Linked DNA regions of Arabidopsis thaliana. The protein of the gene in region 3 binds, or shares a complex with, the protein of the main gene of each other region. Each region holds a gene or a part of one and is shown on either strand. Other genes may lie near its edges.

The links.
Region 1: CPSF160 (region 3) and CPSF100 share a complex: the UniProt entries of both Arabidopsis thaliana proteins name them as parts of the CPSF complex.
Region 2: CPSF160 (region 3) and CPSF73-II share a complex: the UniProt entries of both Arabidopsis thaliana proteins name them as parts of the CPSF complex.

Annotation. Positions count from the first base shown.
Region 1 is NC_003076.8:8,050,625-8,058,525, reverse strand, and holds CPSF100 (cleavage and polyadenylation specificity factor 100), read right to left. Parts: upstream 6,088-7,901; 5' UTR 5,977-6,087; coding exon 5,828-5,976; intron 5,750-5,827; coding exon 5,581-5,749; intron 5,503-5,580; coding exon 5,406-5,502; intron 5,204-5,405; coding exon 5,077-5,203; intron 4,976-5,076; coding exon 4,857-4,975; intron 4,754-4,856; coding exon 4,659-4,753; intron 4,576-4,658; coding exon 4,424-4,575; intron 4,339-4,423; coding exon 4,281-4,338; intron 4,135-4,280; coding exon 4,027-4,134; intron 3,147-4,026; coding exon 2,903-3,146; intron 2,536-2,902; coding exon 2,351-2,535; intron 1,975-2,350; coding exon 1,882-1,974; intron 1,333-1,881; coding exon 1,234-1,332; intron 1,147-1,233; coding exon 1,015-1,146; intron 926-1,014; coding exon 881-925; intron 799-880; coding exon 553-798; intron 481-552; coding exon 379-480; 3' UTR 61-378; downstream 1-60. UniProt on the Arabidopsis thaliana protein: CPSF plays a key role in pre-mRNA 3'-end formation, recognizing the AAUAAA signal sequence and interacting with poly(A)polymerase and other factors to bring about cleavage and poly(A) addition. Required for antisense-RNA-mediated gene silencing.
Region 2 is NC_003071.7:318,522-324,584, reverse strand, and holds CPSF73-II (cleavage and polyadenylation specificity factor 73 kDa subunit-II), read right to left. Parts: upstream 4,153-6,063; 5' UTR 3,989-4,152; coding exon 3,964-3,988; intron 3,866-3,963; coding exon 3,688-3,865; exon of another isoform or gene 3,602-3,687; coding exon 3,529-3,601; intron 3,429-3,528; coding exon 3,311-3,428; intron 3,215-3,310; coding exon 3,141-3,214; intron 3,045-3,140; coding exon 2,908-3,044; intron 2,813-2,907; coding exon 2,749-2,812; intron 2,581-2,748; coding exon 2,515-2,580; intron 2,425-2,514; coding exon 2,355-2,424; intron 2,213-2,354; coding exon 2,108-2,212; intron 1,905-2,107; coding exon 1,763-1,904; intron 1,652-1,762; coding exon 1,555-1,651; intron 1,433-1,554; coding exon 740-1,432; 3' UTR 622-739; downstream 1-621. Other genes in the region: RIE1 (RING-finger protein for embryogenesi), read right to left, coding at 1-86; AT2G01720 (Ribophorin I), read left to right, coding at 4,569-4,673, 5,010-5,054, 5,343-5,974. UniProt on the Arabidopsis thaliana protein: Component of the cleavage and polyadenylation specificity factor (CPSF) complex that play a key role in pre-mRNA 3'-end formation, recognizing the AAUAAA signal sequence and interacting with poly(A) polymerase and other factors to bring about cleavage and poly(A) addition.
Region 3 is NC_003076.8:20,977,921-20,983,037, forward strand, and holds the start of CPSF160 (cleavage and polyadenylation specificity factor 160), read left to right. Parts: upstream 1-2,084; 5' UTR 2,085-2,329; coding exon 2,330-2,661; intron 2,662-2,750; coding exon 2,751-2,897; intron 2,898-3,229; coding exon 3,230-3,383; intron 3,384-3,490; coding exon 3,491-3,626; intron 3,627-3,967; coding exon 3,968-4,113; intron 4,114-4,437; coding exon 4,438-4,533; intron 4,534-4,649; coding exon 4,650-4,702; intron 4,703-4,880; coding exon 4,881-5,012; intron 5,013-5,117. Other genes in the region: AT5G51650 (uncharacterized protein), read right to left, coding at 283-480, 523-903, 1,288-1,329. UniProt on the Arabidopsis thaliana protein: CPSF plays a key role in pre-mRNA 3'-end formation, recognizing the AAUAAA signal sequence and interacting with poly(A)polymerase and other factors to bring about cleavage and poly(A) addition.

The DNA.
Region 1 (7,901 bases), about 13 Mb from region 3:
GTGAAAAAAAAAAGCTAGATGCCACGTCAGCACGAAGCCAAGACCAGGTGTTGAAAGCTCTTGAATGGAAAGTGTTTTCGCTTTCATTTTAAACTTTTGAGAGAACATACAAGGAACAAAGAAGAGAGTTTATCACGTTTTACTGTTTTAGTTTACCGCTTTACCGAAATAGGAGTGGAATATATCCAATGACAACTTAAGCTTCTACTAAGATGACAAGTACAAAAAAGTTACAAAAAGCTATTGCCATTTTTAACACATTAATCTATAAGATTTGAGGGTTATAAGCAAGGCAATAAACTATACGAGATTACATGTTGAGTGGTTGAAAAATGTTGAGAAAATGAGAAGAAGCTTCATTTTTTTTCTATATCATGCTCAGAGGAGGTAGAACTGAGAATAGAGATAATCCCTGATTTTGTAATAGTCTTCACACAACGGTCCTTCTATCAGAATTTGCTGTGGACCCGATGCTCCTCCCTGAACAATCCCCAACATATATAAGTCATTCTCTGATTTGTTGTAAGAAATGCAGTATTTGCTTTGAATTACCTTTTGACCCGTCGGTCCAACCTTTCGTAGAGTGACATATTCACCACAACGTAAAGCTCCTCCACCTGCAAATTCTACCTGAACACCCTTGCTCGACAGAAACTGCTTGAAGTCTGCGATTTTCAGATCACCTACTAGAACAGGTTTGTGTGGCGAAGCAGCACCTGGCATCGGTAGTAGAGACCTCATGTCCCTCTCTGTCTTCCCTACTTCGGAATCCACCCAAGCTACTTCTGAATCTCCCAGCTGATATTATTTCATCATTCTTCAGAGACATTGGTTGCAAATCGGAAAAGAAGAAAAAAATAGTCACGGAAATAAAAGGTACCTTCTTGAAGATCACATTGCTCATCAGCTTTTCAGAAAGTTGGACCTGATGTATCACCATACAGGGTTAATTCAATCACACAACTCAAAACCCATGAGTTAAAAAGGATCTTCCTAATTCTAAGTAATTTCTACCTTGTAAGCACATAAATCAGAAGTCACATCGACCGTTTCCTCTATTTGAGGAGCATACACGTGTGGACAGATGTTGTTCAAGCAGTGTTGCTTCAAATGCTCTGTAGCCTCAGCTATCGCGTGCACCAAAACCTTCACATGATATATAGTATTAGATCACCGCAAGTTTCCAGTTCAGTGCTTAACACTATATATATATAAGACGAGAGAGAAACGTACAAGTTTTAAAGGAGAAACATGCGCAATCATTGACTTGATTGAGCGGCCATCTGACCGACCTTCATAGTCCATTTTAACAAGTGAACAACTAACAGTCACCTGTGCAAAAGCATAAGAACAAACTAAATCATTTATCAGGGAAATTAGACAGCAGTTAGGTATAGACAGAAGAAGACTAAAGAGCCATATTGTTTTGTTTAGCAGGCAAGGCCTACGTTCTGAGAATAACCTTCTGAAACTTCTACATGACATAAGATCAAGTGGGTAAAAGTAAGAACACAAAAGTTGTTCAATAACAAGAAGAAAATTAGACCGATTAATCCAAACAACAAAATATCTGTAAGTTGAATTATCGTGCTAAAGATCTGATTAGCAAGGTCTCCCGTGATAACTAATTAGAAGATCAATTAATAAATTTCTTGTATGCATATCATCAGATGAAGATAAATTTGACAGGCACAACGCCATGTCAATGAGAATTCCTATCTCTCTATTTCTAAGTGAGAAGACTACTCCTTGTGCCTATCATTGATAAGCAGTCTATAACAATAATCAGAGATTCTAGAAAGGGAGAACAAATGAGGACATTAACTGAGACAAAATCTCTATCAATGTATTGTTCTTTGGATATAATTAGAGTCTACTTACAATGAGCTCATTGGACATGACTTTCGAAGGTCTTGTATCAAGCATGAGACTAGCAGTTGCCTCATCAAGCCTTCCGTCCACATCACCTCCGTTCTGAAATGGAAAATTATATCACAAATTTAATAAGCAACACAAGACTCTACATAGAATGACCCTAAACCTTTACTAGTAAGCAATCAGTTGTTAAGGAAAATATAAAGATGGAACTGTAGAACCAGTGCACTCATTTGAAGAACTGCACTCATACCAAATCAAGAGCCTAAGCAACTTTATGGCAAAAGATTTCCTATCTGTATCCCAAATCCTCAGAGCATATCATGCAGATTTCTTACATCTTTGTTCTTCTTGATACAAAAATCGTAAAAGGAACCACCACTATGCAAACATCATGGAAATTAAGAGGTCTAATTTGCAAATATAACAAGAGCTAAGAAAGACCAAGACCAAGACCAGAATTCAAGGAACGTACATGCATTGCTCCTCGGTCCATGTCTTCATCCTTGATCACATAGTCATCTGGATTAATAATCTCCCCAAAGTCGTCCCATTCAGATGTGTTATCATAATATGGGAACATTGGAGCTACGCTGCTGGATGGGGGAACAAATCCATCAATCAATATATCTTTATATGCAGGCCCGTGAGAACCAATAACTGCAAGAGTAGTCAGAAATGTAAAAGGTCAGTTGCAGACCACTATGTAGTGGAAAGAAGAGCAATCAACAACGGTAGCCAGAGGTCTAATTGAAACAGACACATATTGTGGGACTGTGAAAAACTAAACAAATTACCCAGAAATGTATTGTGAGACTTCTAAATGTAGCTTCTAGGTCACTCAAGATAACCACATAAATGCCTCCTAAAACCAACTAACCAGTACATTACAGAGGGTACTATGTGCATAGCCATTTTCAGTACTAGATACTTCAATTAAGTTAAAGTTTACATGAAAAATAAGAAGTTACAGGCCACAGAATATTCAAGGGTAATAAAATGTTATATAAAATAAGAAAAAATTTACCATCGTGAGTAGTCTTGGTATCTATGATCATAGGTTCACTTGAATTATCATCGGATCCATGGGAAGCTTTTGTTTCCTCCTCTTTAACGAGGCTAGCTCGCAAAGCTTCTTCCCTTTTCAGTCTGTTTTGCTCTTCCTCATATGCAATTAACTCTTCCCCAGCCAAAGGAACCCTCTTAGACATGGTGACTTTAACAAATTTTGGAGGTGGGGCTGACTGAAGCATACGAGCTAAAGTGCCAAACTGCAAATAGAAGCAAATGACAATTAAAAATCAAACTAACAGCAGTTTAGTTTTATGTGATTGACTACAAACCGAAACATCTTGCAAATCTTAGATCACGTGAACTATGAATGGACACATGGAAAGTATAATCGCCATCGCAACTAAGGAACACGACCAATGGCAAAGGTAACAAATTGGATGAAGAACTTCGATAATTTCACTTGGATTTACGGTGTTACTGGTATTTCAAACTTAATAATTCCGTAATGCTCTGTTTTCTGGATAGATTGACATGGACAAGAAAGCATAGTCACACAGAACTGAGAAAAGCGTGAATAATTAACCAAAGCTTCCATTTGTTTCCAAACTATTTATTTGAATAAATTTATTTTTGTCTAGATTGAATTTTAATTAAAAGTATGATATTTCAGGGAACAGGATGATGTCTCGCTAGAAGAAAAATAAACAAAGTACGCGGTTACAAAAAAAAATTATGTTCATTTGAGATGAATGATATGGCCAATTAGACAGTTTGTGCATAGTGGTGTCAATTCCATTAATATGATAGTCTACTAAGACCCTTTATTTTGTACTGGATGTAACTAATTGATAAATTCAAGACTGAAAGCTCTGGAGATTATCCTAAAGGAGCAAGCCAGGCTTTGGTGGTAATTATAATGCTGCTTTAAGGTACTCAATCTCTGCCTATTGTGTACATATTGGGGGTAAATATCCACACATAAATGGGGGAACTCTTATTCAGATCAGAAGACAAAAAAGATTCTCATATATCCACTTAACTAGCTGATCAGCACTAGGAAAAGAATCTACCATCAGGTCTTTATAGCAATGCTAATAAATTTTCGTTCCTCAACGTATGTGGGTTCTAAAAACATACCTGGCCTGTTTCAGTAAAGAGGACTAAATTTCTGGGATCATTTGCCCACTCCACGAATATCTCTCGAGCAAAACCGGCTTCGAGACTAGCCATGGAAGCAAGAACAACCTATATTATGAGATTTAGTCACTACAACATATAATAGGAAAAAATCTAGTTCTATTATCAGCTGAAAAGACAGGAAATAATAATAAATCCACCACGTTCTATGTACTAACAAACACTAATGAGTTACTTATAATTTTATAAACAACCTTTGGACCAGGTGGAGCATTATCCAGATCAGTCTTGTTTATCAACAGAGTGACATGCCTGCATGTGTTTAAATTTCATGTGATGTCTTCTGTATTCTAAACAAACGACGGCACAAATAAGGCATTCTTATAAGAAAATCTACCTCAATAGAAAGGCATTATCACGTGAAGTCTCAAAGGACTTTGAAATGGAGTCACTCATCCACTCGAGGAAACTCTTAACATAGTCAATTGTGCTAGATGACACGTACGTGAGAAAATAAATGGGAAAGCTGAAACCTCTTTGTGACCAATGCTGCAGGTTTGATCAATATCCAGTCTTTAAAAAACAGCTGAACATTAACTAAGAGCATGATACATTCAAAGCGGTTCTATTACCTGTTCAAGTATCAAGAGAAGTTCCAGGACACGACCCGCAGTGTCTACTGGCAATAGAACATTTCCTCCAACTTCAAGATGTTTTGAAATGGTATCTGAATGATAAATGGGGACATGCACACATGTTTCTGGCAGTTAGAAGCGGGCTGTTTTAAATACTATAGAAGATACACAACACATATTGGGCTACAAGCTAACCTAGAAATTCTTTGTCCCTTTGCTGTCTTGCGGTTTGATTGGTATAAAGAGCATGATATGCATCGGTTATCAGAACAGCAGGCCGAACAAAAGACTGTAAAACAGTTCCATTCAAATGCCTGAATTAAGATATACAATTCAGTATCACGAGTCCACATCTTTACTTACTGTTATGAACATTACTCGAACTTCAAATAAGATAAAATCTGAACATATGTACCTTTCTTTCCGATGATTGTAGTCAACAGCATATATAACATCCTCCCCATCCTTTGTTATCCTCCAGATGCTACCTCCCAGCATGTGTCCAGCAACATGAGGAGCAATTACAATACCCTCTCCCTTTCCTGATAGGGCAACGATAAAACCTTGAGACATCCTAACAATCTTTGAAGTCATAACTTAGGTTTCAACAACCAAATACTCAATGTGTGTCAAAGAACTCCTTCCCGATATGAGATCATAGATAATGCAGATCAAACTTGCTTGAGATAAGTGTCAATTGTTTCTAGTTTGCTATAGAGCCTAGAAATCACTAAAACCACATACCAGAAAGATGGTAATTTTGAGAGTAAGTCAATCTGATCACATTCTGGAAAGCAGAATCTATGTCATCCAGTGTAAACAGATCAAAGTCGGATACTTGCTGCAACAGTAAGATCATCGTGTTACAATGCAGACAATTGCGCAAAAATAACCACTCCAGTAGTTAACAAAATCTCACCTTCCTGGACAAAAACTGATCATACATTGTAAGGAGACCTAATCTATGAACAGGCTCAGTAGCATAAACAGGAGCGGAGAGTCCAAGCTGCTTCATAGCATAAGGAAGAGCACCAATGTGAAGTGTATCTGGATGAGAAAGCAAAACTGCATCTATAGTAGAAGCAACCCTGTAAACCAGAAGAATCGAATTCAAAACAAATTAGATTGGTGAATTCTGGAAATGTAGATAATAAGGATAGAGAAACCTGGAGAGAGGTTCGAGGAGCGATGTGTCGAAGAGATCGTTCCAACCACAGTCGATGAGGAAGTTGAAACCATCAATGGAGACTAAGTAGGAGAGAGGATTCTCGTTGTAAACTCCGCAGAGAGGAGTCACTTGCACCGAAGTACCCATCTTTTCCGTTCGCCGATATAAACCCTAAAATTTCTCCGATGAACTAAAGAAGAAGAAGCCACCGTGAAAGAGGGTTTTTTAATTCTGTAATAATAACCTCCCCGGTCCATATATTTCCTTTTACTTCTAAAATAACCCTTTTCTTTTCAAATTGTTCATTTGGTACATATAATCTTTGAAATTTTTTCTCTCTTTACCTTGATTTTTTAACCAACACAAAGAGGGATTAGTGAATCTTTTACCAAAAAATGTTGTGGTAGCAGTGAAACATAGATGGTGAGTCCATTATAAGCATATGAGTCAATTCTATTGTATGTTCAAACTTCAAAGTAGATCGGTTTCATTATGATTGCTCATTCATTTAAAATTACATGAAACTTCATTCATTGTTTCAACATGAAAACATTAAACACACCCTTAAGGAAAAATAGGCAAATCTCCGTTAAATATACTAGAGTAAATCAAAAACTTTTAAGCAGTTGTACCAAATACACTAGATCTATGAGCATATGGTGCAACCAGAAGACCATTACAAGTTGATAAGAACTTACGCATAAACCTTTGTATTTATTATCCGTAAATCCCAATTACAATGAATCAAAACCCTATATTGATAAGATCGGAGTTACAATGCTCATCTCTTATCATCAAGAACATAGCACACAAGCCCTAATTCTCCTCACAACATCAATGATCACGCAGGATAATCTCTATAATTCCTCTCTAATATCCCTATTTATACTCTTTTATTCTTCTCATGCTTCTCTTTAGCTCTTCACACGTGCCTAATTCTCCCACATGTGTGCTCTCTTATCACTAATTAGTAAATGTTGCAACTAAAAGATCACTACAATGGTAAAAAAATGTTGGAAATCTCTTCTATGAAATAAGAGATATTAATGAATGAATTCACTTTCAGTTAATTTTGAATTAAACGTATTTGAATTCTGATATAGTATCGAAGTTCAGATCATTTGACATAGGTGTGTTGCGTAATACTTAATAATTCAATAGTTCGAGATGAACTATATATATCATTTGTTAGGAATATGATGGACAATAAGAAACAAGTAGCTGGTATGTTGATTGTGACGAATGATAAGTTCTTCCTGATTTTATTGATGCACGTTAGAAAGCCAAACAACATTTTGATTCAAAATTGTGATAGCTTCACTTCAAAGGCAACACAAAAAAAAAAAAAAAAAAAAAAAAAACATATGCATTTGGTGAAGGAGGACCCGTGAGGACCAAACCAAAATCATAATGGCTAAGGATAACAACCATAACTAACTATCAAACCTTTCTTTCTTGATATGAATATGAAAGTTGTAGTTAGGTAATAATAGGTTGATTAGTTAAAGAGTGTAAATAAATGTAATTATTATACTTGTTTTCATAAGAAAAATGACCAGAGAGATTGAAGACAATTGTTTGTGTGTGTTTTTTTTTGGTTCTTTAAAGATAGATTAAGAAGATTCGGTGAACCTAAACCAAAAGACACCTAAGAATGTGATTTTCGATTCTAATTCATCAGCTGGTGACCCACCCATCAAGACCCATCTCCATACTTAGAAAAATATCTAAAAATACAATACATTTTTTATAAATAAATAAAAAGAAAGTATCAAAATATGGTTATTCTTGCAAAAAAAAAAACTTTTTTTTAATCATTTGTTTTTTGTTTTTTGGCCTTATCTACGCCCTATGCTGTCTACTGCACATAACTAAACTTAGCTCTCGTGTGAAACTGATAAGTAGTAGTGTAGAACTGTTTTTGTGAGCCTGTGGCTGTCACTGAAATTTGTTTTTAATACCAATACAGAAATTGGATTTCAATACATTTACAGATTGAAAATTCTTACAAAAACATAAACAATGAATTTACAATGGTGGACCACAGTAGAATTACAAGGAAATATTTACTA
Region 2 (6,063 bases), on a different chromosome or scaffold from region 3:
GAAGAAAAAGAGCCGTCGTGTCGTGGACGGAGTAGAGGCGCATGTTGATCACGCGCCGCCGTGGAATCTGAAGAATACGATGACATTAGTAACGAAGAGAATTGAGATTCTTCTTTCTCTCTGCTCTAGAAAACGCTAAGCCATGGCGGACAGTTTTAAAAAATGGTTTTAGTTAATTAACATTAATTGAAGATTAGACACAGTCTTATAAGTTAATTATCATTATCACAATAAGTCGTACGTCTTTAACCTTAAAGGATCCGGTTAGGAGTGGCCATTCGGATAAACGGGTCGGATTCGGGTAAAATTCGATCGAATACGGTTTTTCGGGTAGAGAAGTTTAGGATTCTATAGGGTAAATCTAAAATATCGGTTCGTGTATAGATTTTAGGCCTTTTTTAGAACCATACTTGATTTTGCGGGTAAATATGCAAATTTTTCGGATTTCGAATAAAATTTAAATTTTTGATTAAAATATTCATGTATTTTTGGGTTCGACTTCAGATTTGGTTTTTAGGGTAGAAGAATTTAGGACACAAGTAAATTTTCGGATTCAGATTCAGTTTCGGGTAATTGGTTCCGGTTTTTAATACGGGTGTTACTTTGTTAGATAGAAATTGGCGCTAAAGTTGGTAAGTTTAGTTACTACTGGGTTAATTTAATTTACTAGGATCAAAACTTTTACATATGCCGACAGAAAAACGACAAAAACTGAAAACACTTCTCAGTGTTACAAGAATCAGTGATTTAGTTTGATAGCATTGATGATTTCCCAGCCAAGCTCTAAATCTGCGATAGACCAGTTGCAACACAAGAACACAGCTTCACTACTACTACTACTGCTTCGATGCATACACTTGTCTTTTAGACACAAAGAGCCCTTGAAAGATGCAACCTGCAAACAGTTTTCAGATTCATGGATCTGAGCACCAGACACTGTCTTCAAGATCTTTGCAGACAATTGTTTGATTAGATCAACATCATCATCTTCTGATTCTCCTTTAACTTTCACTGGACAACAATGAGCTAAAGAGACCACATGGTTTTTCTCATGTAACACCTCAGAGATTTCATCTTGGTGAACTATCTTTGCCTTTTTGCTCTTCTCTATTACCAAAACCCCGTCTGCGGTTCTATGGTCTGTAACACGGAGCTGAGTAGAGTTTGAGAATTTGAAATTCGGGTTGGAGCAGCTTTTTAGGAACATATCAGAAGCGTTTGCTTTTATATAAGTGGTTGAAGCGAATGAAACTGTTTCGCCATTGGCAGGGACGAAACAGGGGATGTCAAGCTCTGAGGTTATCTTTTCCTTAAGAATCATCATGCTGGGTTTTTCGCCGTGCACGAGTACAACGTTCTTTGGGGAAAGGAACTTTGTGAGATCCATTATTCCTTTTGCATCTGTGTGAGGACTGAAAGCCACTTGATGTACCTGATAACAACAGAATCAACAAGACATTTTAGTTTAGGTTCAACGTGTGAATTGGACGCATTGCTGTTTTCGTGTTAAGGTTACATAAATTTTGTGAGAACCAGAAGAAAGAGTAAACAAACCTTGCAACGGACATCGACCTTGGTGCCATTGTAGAGATCAACCGTCGTGGGTTTACCAGCCATCAGTTTGTGCCCAACGGTCCCAGCCACAGAGTATCTGTAAAAAACGGATCCATAAATGGATGAAAAGAGATACAATTTCGTGTTAGATGCTATGCTAGGAAAAAACTGAATTGCTAATAAAGGGGAAACACAATAGGTATAGTACCCGGGTAATGCAACAAGATTCAAGGGAGAAGGAGCCCAGTGCTTGAACACTTCAAGTGAAAAGCCAGCACAAAGCATACCAGGTGTGGCAAAGAGAACACATGGCCCAGGAGCATGTATAAGAGATCGATCGAAATCTTTAACTGCAGAATGTGAAGGTAGTAGTTAGAAAGCAAGCAGAGTTGTACAGCTAAGGTAGTGGATAAGAACAAAAAATGGACGCAAAGGATGTATTAGAACCACTAGTTTGGTTCTTATTTTTCAAGCACATCAGAGTTTCGGTTCCATATGATATAAATTTCATCTTCAACGTTCTAAAGTTATTTGCAAATGGTAGTACACATACCATTCTTAAAATCAAATGGGTTATGCGTATTGTGCTTTTCTTTAACGTTCTGGCTTGTCCAGCTGATGAGCATTTTGTAATACATATTTGCTTGGATGGTCAAACCTGCAAAAGTACAAATTTATCTTCAGGGACAGCAATTTTCAGAAGATAGAGATCACTATTCATGAAATAGAGTCACGACTTTGTTGAGCTGACTAATCTGCAGAATTGATTTCATATGAGGATTGGTGGTGATTTAACAGACCTGATGAGAAGTAAATTGGAACCTTTATATTCATGCGTTCCCAGTAATCATCAAGCAGCATGCAGAGTTCCTGAAAAAGGAAACGCAATTGTCAATGAGACATAAGAGAAGCAAAGACAAGTTTAAGTAACTGACTTCAAAGCTCTGTAAGAAGACAGACCTGAGCCCTTCCAAGAGCAAATGAAGGAATCAGCGCCTTCCCTCCGCCAGCAACACATTTATGAACCTGGAAGAGTTTTCTGAGATATCAGACAATTACCAAACGAAAGCTTAAGCATTTCCTGAAGGGGTATATTGATCAGAAACAAGCCAAAGGTGATGCGGGTAATTATAATCAAAAACCATTTAAGAACAAATTTAGAAACCATGTGTTAATAGTTACAAGTAGACATACAGCTTGAAGAAACTCTCTCTCCCGGGGATATTTTGAGCCGCGAATGGTAGTTGCATATGTGGACCTAAAACGGCATAGTTAAACCTATATCAGGTAAACTTGTTCTTTCTAAGTTTGTTGAAAAATACCAGCGAACAAGTTTGTATTTGTTTTCCATACTCTGAAATGAGAAGATCCAACTGGAGTCTGTCAATTTTAGCAGCTCCTAGATGTCTATCTGTCGTCATATTGTAATCTCCAGTGTACACAATCGCTGCATCTCCCATCTTTGCATAAACCATCACTGCTCCAAGGACCTTATGATCAATACAAAATAAGCTTTAAAAAATACAGAAACTCTGAATATAAAAAACACAGAAAGAAATTCACTAAAACCAGAACGAATGTCTTACATGCCCTGCATAATAAGCCCGGATTTGAAGATCTTCATCAACCTGAATTGTTTGCTTCAAATCTATTGCAATTACTACATATAAAAAAACAAGAGGAAGTCAAGTTATAGACACTGCATCTGAATTCGTGCACAAAGACCTCAAATGAACTAAATCCAATATTCAAGTACCTTTTTTCATGCAGTTTGCGATATGGGTAGTGGTGAATAGCTCCTCCTCGCCTCTTCTATCCACCATCACTCTTCGGTAGTCCTCAAGCATTAATGGAGACAAAGCCTTTGTGGGATACTACAAAAGAGACAAATCAAAGTAAACAACCTTTACCTTCACAAAAAAAAAACAGTCAGTCAAACATTTCATCGAACACCTTGAGGACAATATAACTCACCGACATATAAATCGGACCATTGTACCCACAAACTTCCGTGAAGTAAGGAAGCGCTCCAACATGATCCATATGGCTATTAACACTCACAATTAAAACCCACAAAAACTAAAAAAGTGAATTTTAAAAAAGGGACAAATTCTGGGTTTGAAGAATCAATACAAGTGTGTGATGATGATACAAGAGATCGCGTTGTCAAAATCACCGGATTTAGATATGAGAGAAAAATTTGGGTAACGATTGTGATCATCACAGCCCATATGCATCCCACAATCGAACATTATCTTTTTACCATTAATCGTCACTACCACACAGCTCTTTCCAATCTCTTGTCCAGCACCTGGATACAACACAAAAAAGATAGAATTATACAGAAATTGAAATTGTGAAACTTTGAAGAAGCAAAGAGAGAAGAAGAAGAAGAACAAAAACTGTTACCAAGTACGAGACAATCGATAGCCATAGTTACTGAAGAAATAAACAACAATTTGAGTTTCAAAACTCGTCGATGGTCAAAAATATCTTACTCGTTGAATCAGAACACAAATTCAAGTGACCGGAGAAAATTTTGAAGGGGGCGAGAGAAGAAACAGAGTTAGGTCGACAAACGAATTTGAATGGCGGCAAAGTGTTCAGTGACATCGGAACCGTTCGGAGTTATTACACGTGTCTGATCCAACCGTCGATATTTTTGTGGTGTGAAGCCCAATAATAGTTCTTCTCACGGCCCATTAAATTTAAAAGTTTGAAACGACAACGTCTCATGTCGTTTTTAATCTGAGGAAGAAAAAAGCTCGTAACTAATCCCTAAATCAAGAGAGAAGTGAGAGACACTGAGACTTTGTAGTTGACCGGATCATTCTCACTTCGCCGGCCGACGTTCTTCCTTCCGCCGTCGGTATCTATATTTACGATCCACGATCTCTCTTGCTGTTTCTGTCTTCATCGGTGAGTAATTTTTTACTGATCTTCCAAATCCTATCAATTCACCATCTCTGAGCTCTTTCGTTGATTTGAGTTTTGTTCTTACTGCAGTGACGAAAATGGCTGCTCGTATCGGGATCTTCTCCGTCTTCGTAGCTGTATTGTTATCTATTTCTGCATTTTCCTCAGCTCAGGATCTCCAGATCGTAAATGCCGAGCGAAGGGTAAGATTCTCCGATCTATCTTCTTCTTACAATTCATAAACTTCCTTAATGGATCCCGTTTCTCCGATTTATGGAAATTCAAGTTAATGAAGTTGCCGTTGGGCTTTGCTGTTTCTCCGATCTATACTCGGTTTGTAGAATTACTGTGTGATTGGTCACTTCATGGTTGATCATCATCGATAGGCTTCATATGTATGTACATTGATAGATAGTGTGACTTTTCATCAGTTATACGTTTGATTTGAGTAATTAGAAAGTCTAATGATAGAACCTGTTTGCAAAATTTTCTTGCCCGAAACTGAAATGCTTCTCCTTTGTGTTTGTTTTTGTCTACAGATTGATTTAAGCTCACATATCGTGAAGGCCTTCTTGACTCTCAAGGTATTTATAAGCAAATGTTTATAATAGTTATTCCTATTGAATATACACTGGAAGGTTGGAACTTAGAATTGGAAAATTAAAGCTTTTTTGGATATGTTATATGAAACTGCAGCTGTTTTTCTTTTAGTCAAATTTAGTTTATTGTAGTGATACTTGTTGTAAAGGTTGGAACTTTAGTGGCTTTGATTCGTTGTGACAGTTAATTTGATATTATCGCTTTTCTCCTTCATCATCTTTAAGTTTTTCTATTAGGAGGTGACATTTTCTTGTCTGGATTTCTTTCTTCAGGTTGAAAATATTGGGAAAGATCCTGCTGCAGAAATGCTTCTTGCTTTCCCACCTACCCAGATCAAGAATTTGGCTATGGTACAAGCCCTGGCAACTACTGGCAAGAAGAAGAAGAAAACTTATTTGCCATTAGATGTAAAACCAACTGAACAACCTGATGCACCAAATGACACTGGATACTACCGTGTTACGTTTATTAGCCCCTTAGGTCCGGGTGAAACTGTTTCACTTGAGGTGCTTTACATATTGACTCATTCCTTGGAACCTTTCCCAGTGGAGATAACCCAGTCAGAATCTCAATTGGTTTACTATCATGATAGTGCAGTGATATTGTCACCGTATCATGTTAAGCAACAGACAACTTTTATTAAGACTCCTAGTACTAGAGTAGAGTCGTTCACTAGCATTGAACCTGCTAACCGGGCTGGCAAAGAGATCAAATATGGACCATATGAAAATCGTGCTTCATACTCTTACACACCTGTCATCATTCACTTCGAGAATAACAGTCCATTTGCTGTTGTTGAGGAGCTTGTGCGTGAAATTGAGATTTCACACTGGGGTAGCCTTCAGATTACAGAAAATTATAGGTTGACTCATGGGGGAGCGAGGCATAAGGGTGTTTTCTCAAGGTATGTAATGGGACTAATAACTTCTATAATGTATGAGGTGACATCTGAAAATTTATCTCTAGGAGTTAGATGTTGCAGAATTTCGATTT
Region 3 (5,117 bases):
AAAATAAATCAAAATCTTCACTCTTCATTTTGATTAAACTAAACAAAAAATAAACTAAACAATTTAGGAGTTTTTTCTTTTTTCTTTTTTGAAGTTTTTTATTGATTTGGTCATTTTGCATGATATTATAATTATTACGGTTATATTTCATAATTAGTTTAATCGTGTATGTCCAACTTTTTTAATTGAACTAGATTATTAGTTAAACTAAACCGAACTACATTTGGTTAGACTATTAGATTTTTATTATATCAAACTTAACTTGAAAATAAATCAAAATCCTCACTCTCGATTAACAATAAACGTTTTCCCTTTCTTCCCCTTCTTGCGCTTGTTCTTTTCAAGCTTCTTCTCCTTCATCAACTTTTCAATAAACTCATCGTTCTTTTTCTCAAACTCTCTCAGAAGTTTCTTAAGTTGCTGCTTGTCGTTTGCCAGTTTCCTTAAATCTGCAGTAGTTAGTTTGATTTTACTTCCAAACTTGATTCACAGAGAAATAAGCTTCCTTATGTCATTCTCCACGTCATCCTCCTCCTCCTCTTTCTTCTTGTCCTTCTTCTTCTCCTTGAGATCCCAGATAATGCCAACTTCTTCTTCAAGGATTTTTGTATCAAAGTAGTCATTTTCGTTACCAGGTGCAGAAACAGTCCACTTGGAGTAGTTGATAAGGTCACGTTCAAGGTTAAAGTGATGAATGGCATATGTGTATGCAACAGACACAGATCCATCCTTTTCCCATGAGACATGAGCCTCTTCTTTCTCCTTCTCCACAAGAACCTTTTCAACTCCCTCTTCTTTCCCTTGAGCTTCAAGTCCCTCTTTCCTCTCCTGAACCACACGTTGAACTCCTTTGGCCACTAAAGGATGCCAAAAATCCTCGAAAAGGAATCGAGGCTTTGGAGCCTAAGAGAGTATCTCTTTGTGAATAGTTTTAACAAGCACAGTGTAAAAATTTTCTTCCTTGACATTTTTTCTTCTGGTAATGAGAAATAAGATAAAAATTTGGAGAAAAAGAGGATGAAGCAGAAGAAGAAGTATGTAAAAAGAGTAGTTATAGGTGGTTAAACTTAAAGCTATCATTGTTGTCGTCTTGTATGGGGGAGGAACACTCAAAATCGTTTCACAGAGACTTGCAGGAGGTTTCTTATTTTATGAGGACAAGAGGTGAGAAGTAGAGGAAGCCCAAAGTTGGTTATTTTCCTTTTCAAGATTTTTCAACAATTAATAAGAAATATTATATGAACGTATCTTTAAATCAATTAATTATTAGCATTTGTTTTCATAAACCTTATAAGGCATCCCCTTGTTCTCCAAAACAATTACTGTCATCCTCTTTCTAAGTGAAAATTATATTTTTTTTTATCGTCTCTAAGTTGTTTAAGGGGTTAAAATACTAATTACAAAAACACAATCTAAAACATAAATAATAAATACGTTTATCTCTTACATATTTTTGCTGAGATTTTTTTATTAGAAGTATAAAGATTTTTGGGGAAATTTGATACTAAGGATCTTTTTTAGAACTAAAAAGGAAAACAAAAATATTTTACAAAATGATATATTTCGATATATAAAGTTTTAATGCAGTAATGAAACTCAAAATGATTGATAACACTTTCTAATACTTTTATGTTGCAAAAACAAAATCATGGTGCAAAATCCACTACTTTTATGTTGTAGTATATTTCTAGAAGAAATTTGGTTTCATGGTATATATTGGGTATTAAATAAAGATTGGACTATCTTCCCTTTGGCTTTGGTGTGTCATAGATAGTGATAAGAAATACCTCTTTTTTTGGGCATTATTTGTTGACAAACGATATAGAAAATTATAAACAAAATAAAGATCATTGGAAAAACATCATTTGACCAAAGATGTGTATATGTGTCCCAATCAGAAAGTTCATAACAAGTTCCTCTCTTCTCTTCTCAATTCTTATGCATCCACATCATCATTGATTTAATGCTTTTAAAAACAGAACATTACATTTATTTTTTTAAAAATGTATTACTTTTTGGACAATACAAGTTTGATACATATAACGGATTTCGCAAAATATTTCATGTTCTTTTTGCAAACAAATAATCCCCAAAAAAAACTAAAGGAAAAGAAATTCGTAAAGACCAAACTCGTAATAAAGAGTATATACTGTTTCCCCTTAAAAAAAAAAACCAACCTAAAATTAAAACCCGTGGGTTTAAGGATTTGATCTTTTAATGTTCACAAAATCGAGACCCTAAATTGCTCTCACACTCACTTCCCAATCTTCTTAGTTCAATTTCAATTTTTAGAATTAGAATCTCTGAATCCCAGATTCCGGTAGAGAAGATGAGTTTCGCGGCCTATAAGATGATGCATTGGCCTACCGGCGTCGAGAACTGTGCTTCCGGCTATATCACCCACTCTCTCTCCGATTCAACGCTACAGATTCCGATTGTTTCCGTTCATGATGATATTGAAGCTGAGTGGCCTAATCCTAAACGAGGTATTGGTCCTTTGCCCAACGTCGTTATAACCGCCGCAAATATCCTTGAGGTGTACATCGTTAGGGCTCAAGAGGAAGGGAATACTCAGGAGCTGAGGAATCCGAAGCTTGCTAAGCGTGGTGGAGTTATGGATGGTGTCTATGGTGTTTCTCTCGAGCTCGTGTGCCATTATAGGTACGTGTTTGTTGACAATTACCTCCTAAATTACTCCAATTTTGGTACTTTGACTTTGAAGTGACGATGTGATTGGTATTGGATTGTAGGTTGCACGGTAATGTTGAGTCAATTGCGGTTCTTCCTATGGGAGGTGGTAATTCTTCTAAGGGAAGAGATTCGATTATATTGACATTTCGCGACGCCAAAATTTCAGTTCTTGAGTTTGATGATTCAATTCACAGCCTTAGGATGACGTAAGAGTGTTTTGCTTTTGTTGGTTTTGGTAAATAAATAAATGAATTCAGCTTTAGTTTCAGCTCTGTCTCCTCTCAATTGTTTCTTTTGACCTATATACGAGATGTTCTGTGTCCAACTATTGTTTTAACTGTTTTATACTTCTCAAAGTTTTGGTCTTTACTTACGCATTGTTATTGTTTCTAGCGATGCAAGTTACGTAGTATTGGATCATATACTGAAGCGTTCTATTGTCTATGTCTGATTGTTTCTTCTAGTTATCTAATTTATGTACCATTGACTCCTATACATGACTTCAACAAATAATAATGGATATGTGGTTCCTTTTCAGTTCGATGCATTGTTTTGAGGGTCCAGATTGGCTTCATCTGAAAAGAGGAAGAGAGTCTTTTCCAAGAGGCCCTTTGGTAAAAGTGGATCCTCAAGGCAGATGTGGCGGCGTTCTTGTTTATGGTTTGCAGATGATCATACTCAAGACTTCCCAGGTTTTTGTTTTGGCATTATTAATCAACTTCATCTTAACTGTCGCTTTATCTGCTACAAATTTCCAACCTTCATTCTTTTCTTTTATGAACTTTATTTTGGGTTTTAGGTTGGTTCTGGACTAGTTGGAGATGATGATGCGTTCAGTTCTGGAGGGACAGTTTCTGCTCGAGTTGAATCATCTTACATAATTAACTTGCGTGATCTGGAAATGAAACACGTCAAAGATTTTGTTTTTCTACATGGTAGGTTTAGCAAGCAAGGTTTCTTCATAAACTTATCTCTGAATCAGTAGTTAATCATAAATATATTATGATGATTGTTTCTTAGCTGCTCAACTTGCATCGAATCTTGTGTCCTTGAATGGATCTAGCTTACTAAGTTGTTGTTTGTAGATTCAATACGACAACTGATGTATTCTGGTCATGATTACAGTTTGAAACAAGAGGAAATGTATTGTTTCTTTGATTTTTCAATAACTAGCTGTCTGAAATTTTAGATATTCTAGTTTTCCCAGTAGGCATAAAGAATAAACTAAGTGGTGCTTCTTTTGATTATGTGTTTTTGCATCCTGTGTCTTCTTCAGGTTATATTGAGCCTGTAATTGTCATCCTTCAGGAAGAAGAGCATACTTGGGCTGGGCGAGTTTCATGGAAGCACCATACTTGCGTGCTTTCTGCCCTTAGTATCAATTCGACATTAAAACAACACCCAGTCATCTGGTCAGCTATTGTATGTTCGTATTTTCCTCTTTGTATCTTATAATAGATCTCTTCCCAAGAAATTAAATATTTGAGTTGCACTATTAACTATATTGTAAGCTAAGGGTAGAAATTGAAGTCATCTAAAAGGTTATTGAATATCCACTGTTGTTACATGACTAGACTTTCCAATCAGCTATGACGATGCTCTATTTTTTGTTTAGAATGCTCAAAGAGTTGATCTTTCTTTAGGAAAAATTTCCTAAAATAACAAGCTATTTCATGACTGAAATAGTTACTTCGGCAAACGTTAGTCCCTGATCATACTTATTCCCATTCTTTTGGTATTTTCCAGAATCTGCCCCATGATGCCTACAAACTACTTGCAGTACCATCTCCGATCGGAGGTGTTCTTGTGTTGTGTGCAAATACAATCCATTATCATAGTCAGGTAGTTTTATATTACTTAGCTTTTGGTTGTTTCTTGTTTAAAATTCAACAATTCCAGCCACTCCACCTCAAAGTTCTACAGTTACTCACACATCTGGATACCATATATATTTGTAGTCAGCCTCCTGTGCTCTGGCACTGAACAATTATGCCTCCTCAGCTGATAGCAGGTACAGTTTTCTCGCACCTCCCCACTCTTCAAAACCTGCTTCATGCTTATGGATATAATCTTGTTACCTCAGTCTTAGTTTAGAATCCTAAAGCTTAGAATCAACTTTCAACATTTGTAAAACTCTGTTTATACTGTTAACCACATTTCTATCTCTGTGTGCGTCTGATTTCTTTCAGTCAAGAACTGCCTGCATCAAATTTCAGTGTGGAGCTTGATGCTGCCCATGGAACCTGGATATCGAACGATGTGGCCCTATTGTCGACAAAATCTGGGGAATTGTTGCTGCTGACTCTTATATATGATGGGCGGTAGTATTTTGATCTTCTTTAAAAAAAAATCTTCTGACGCTTGTAAAGCTGGCTGCAACTTATTTTGTTTAAAATATGTGAAACTGACTGCTACTTTCTTTTTTG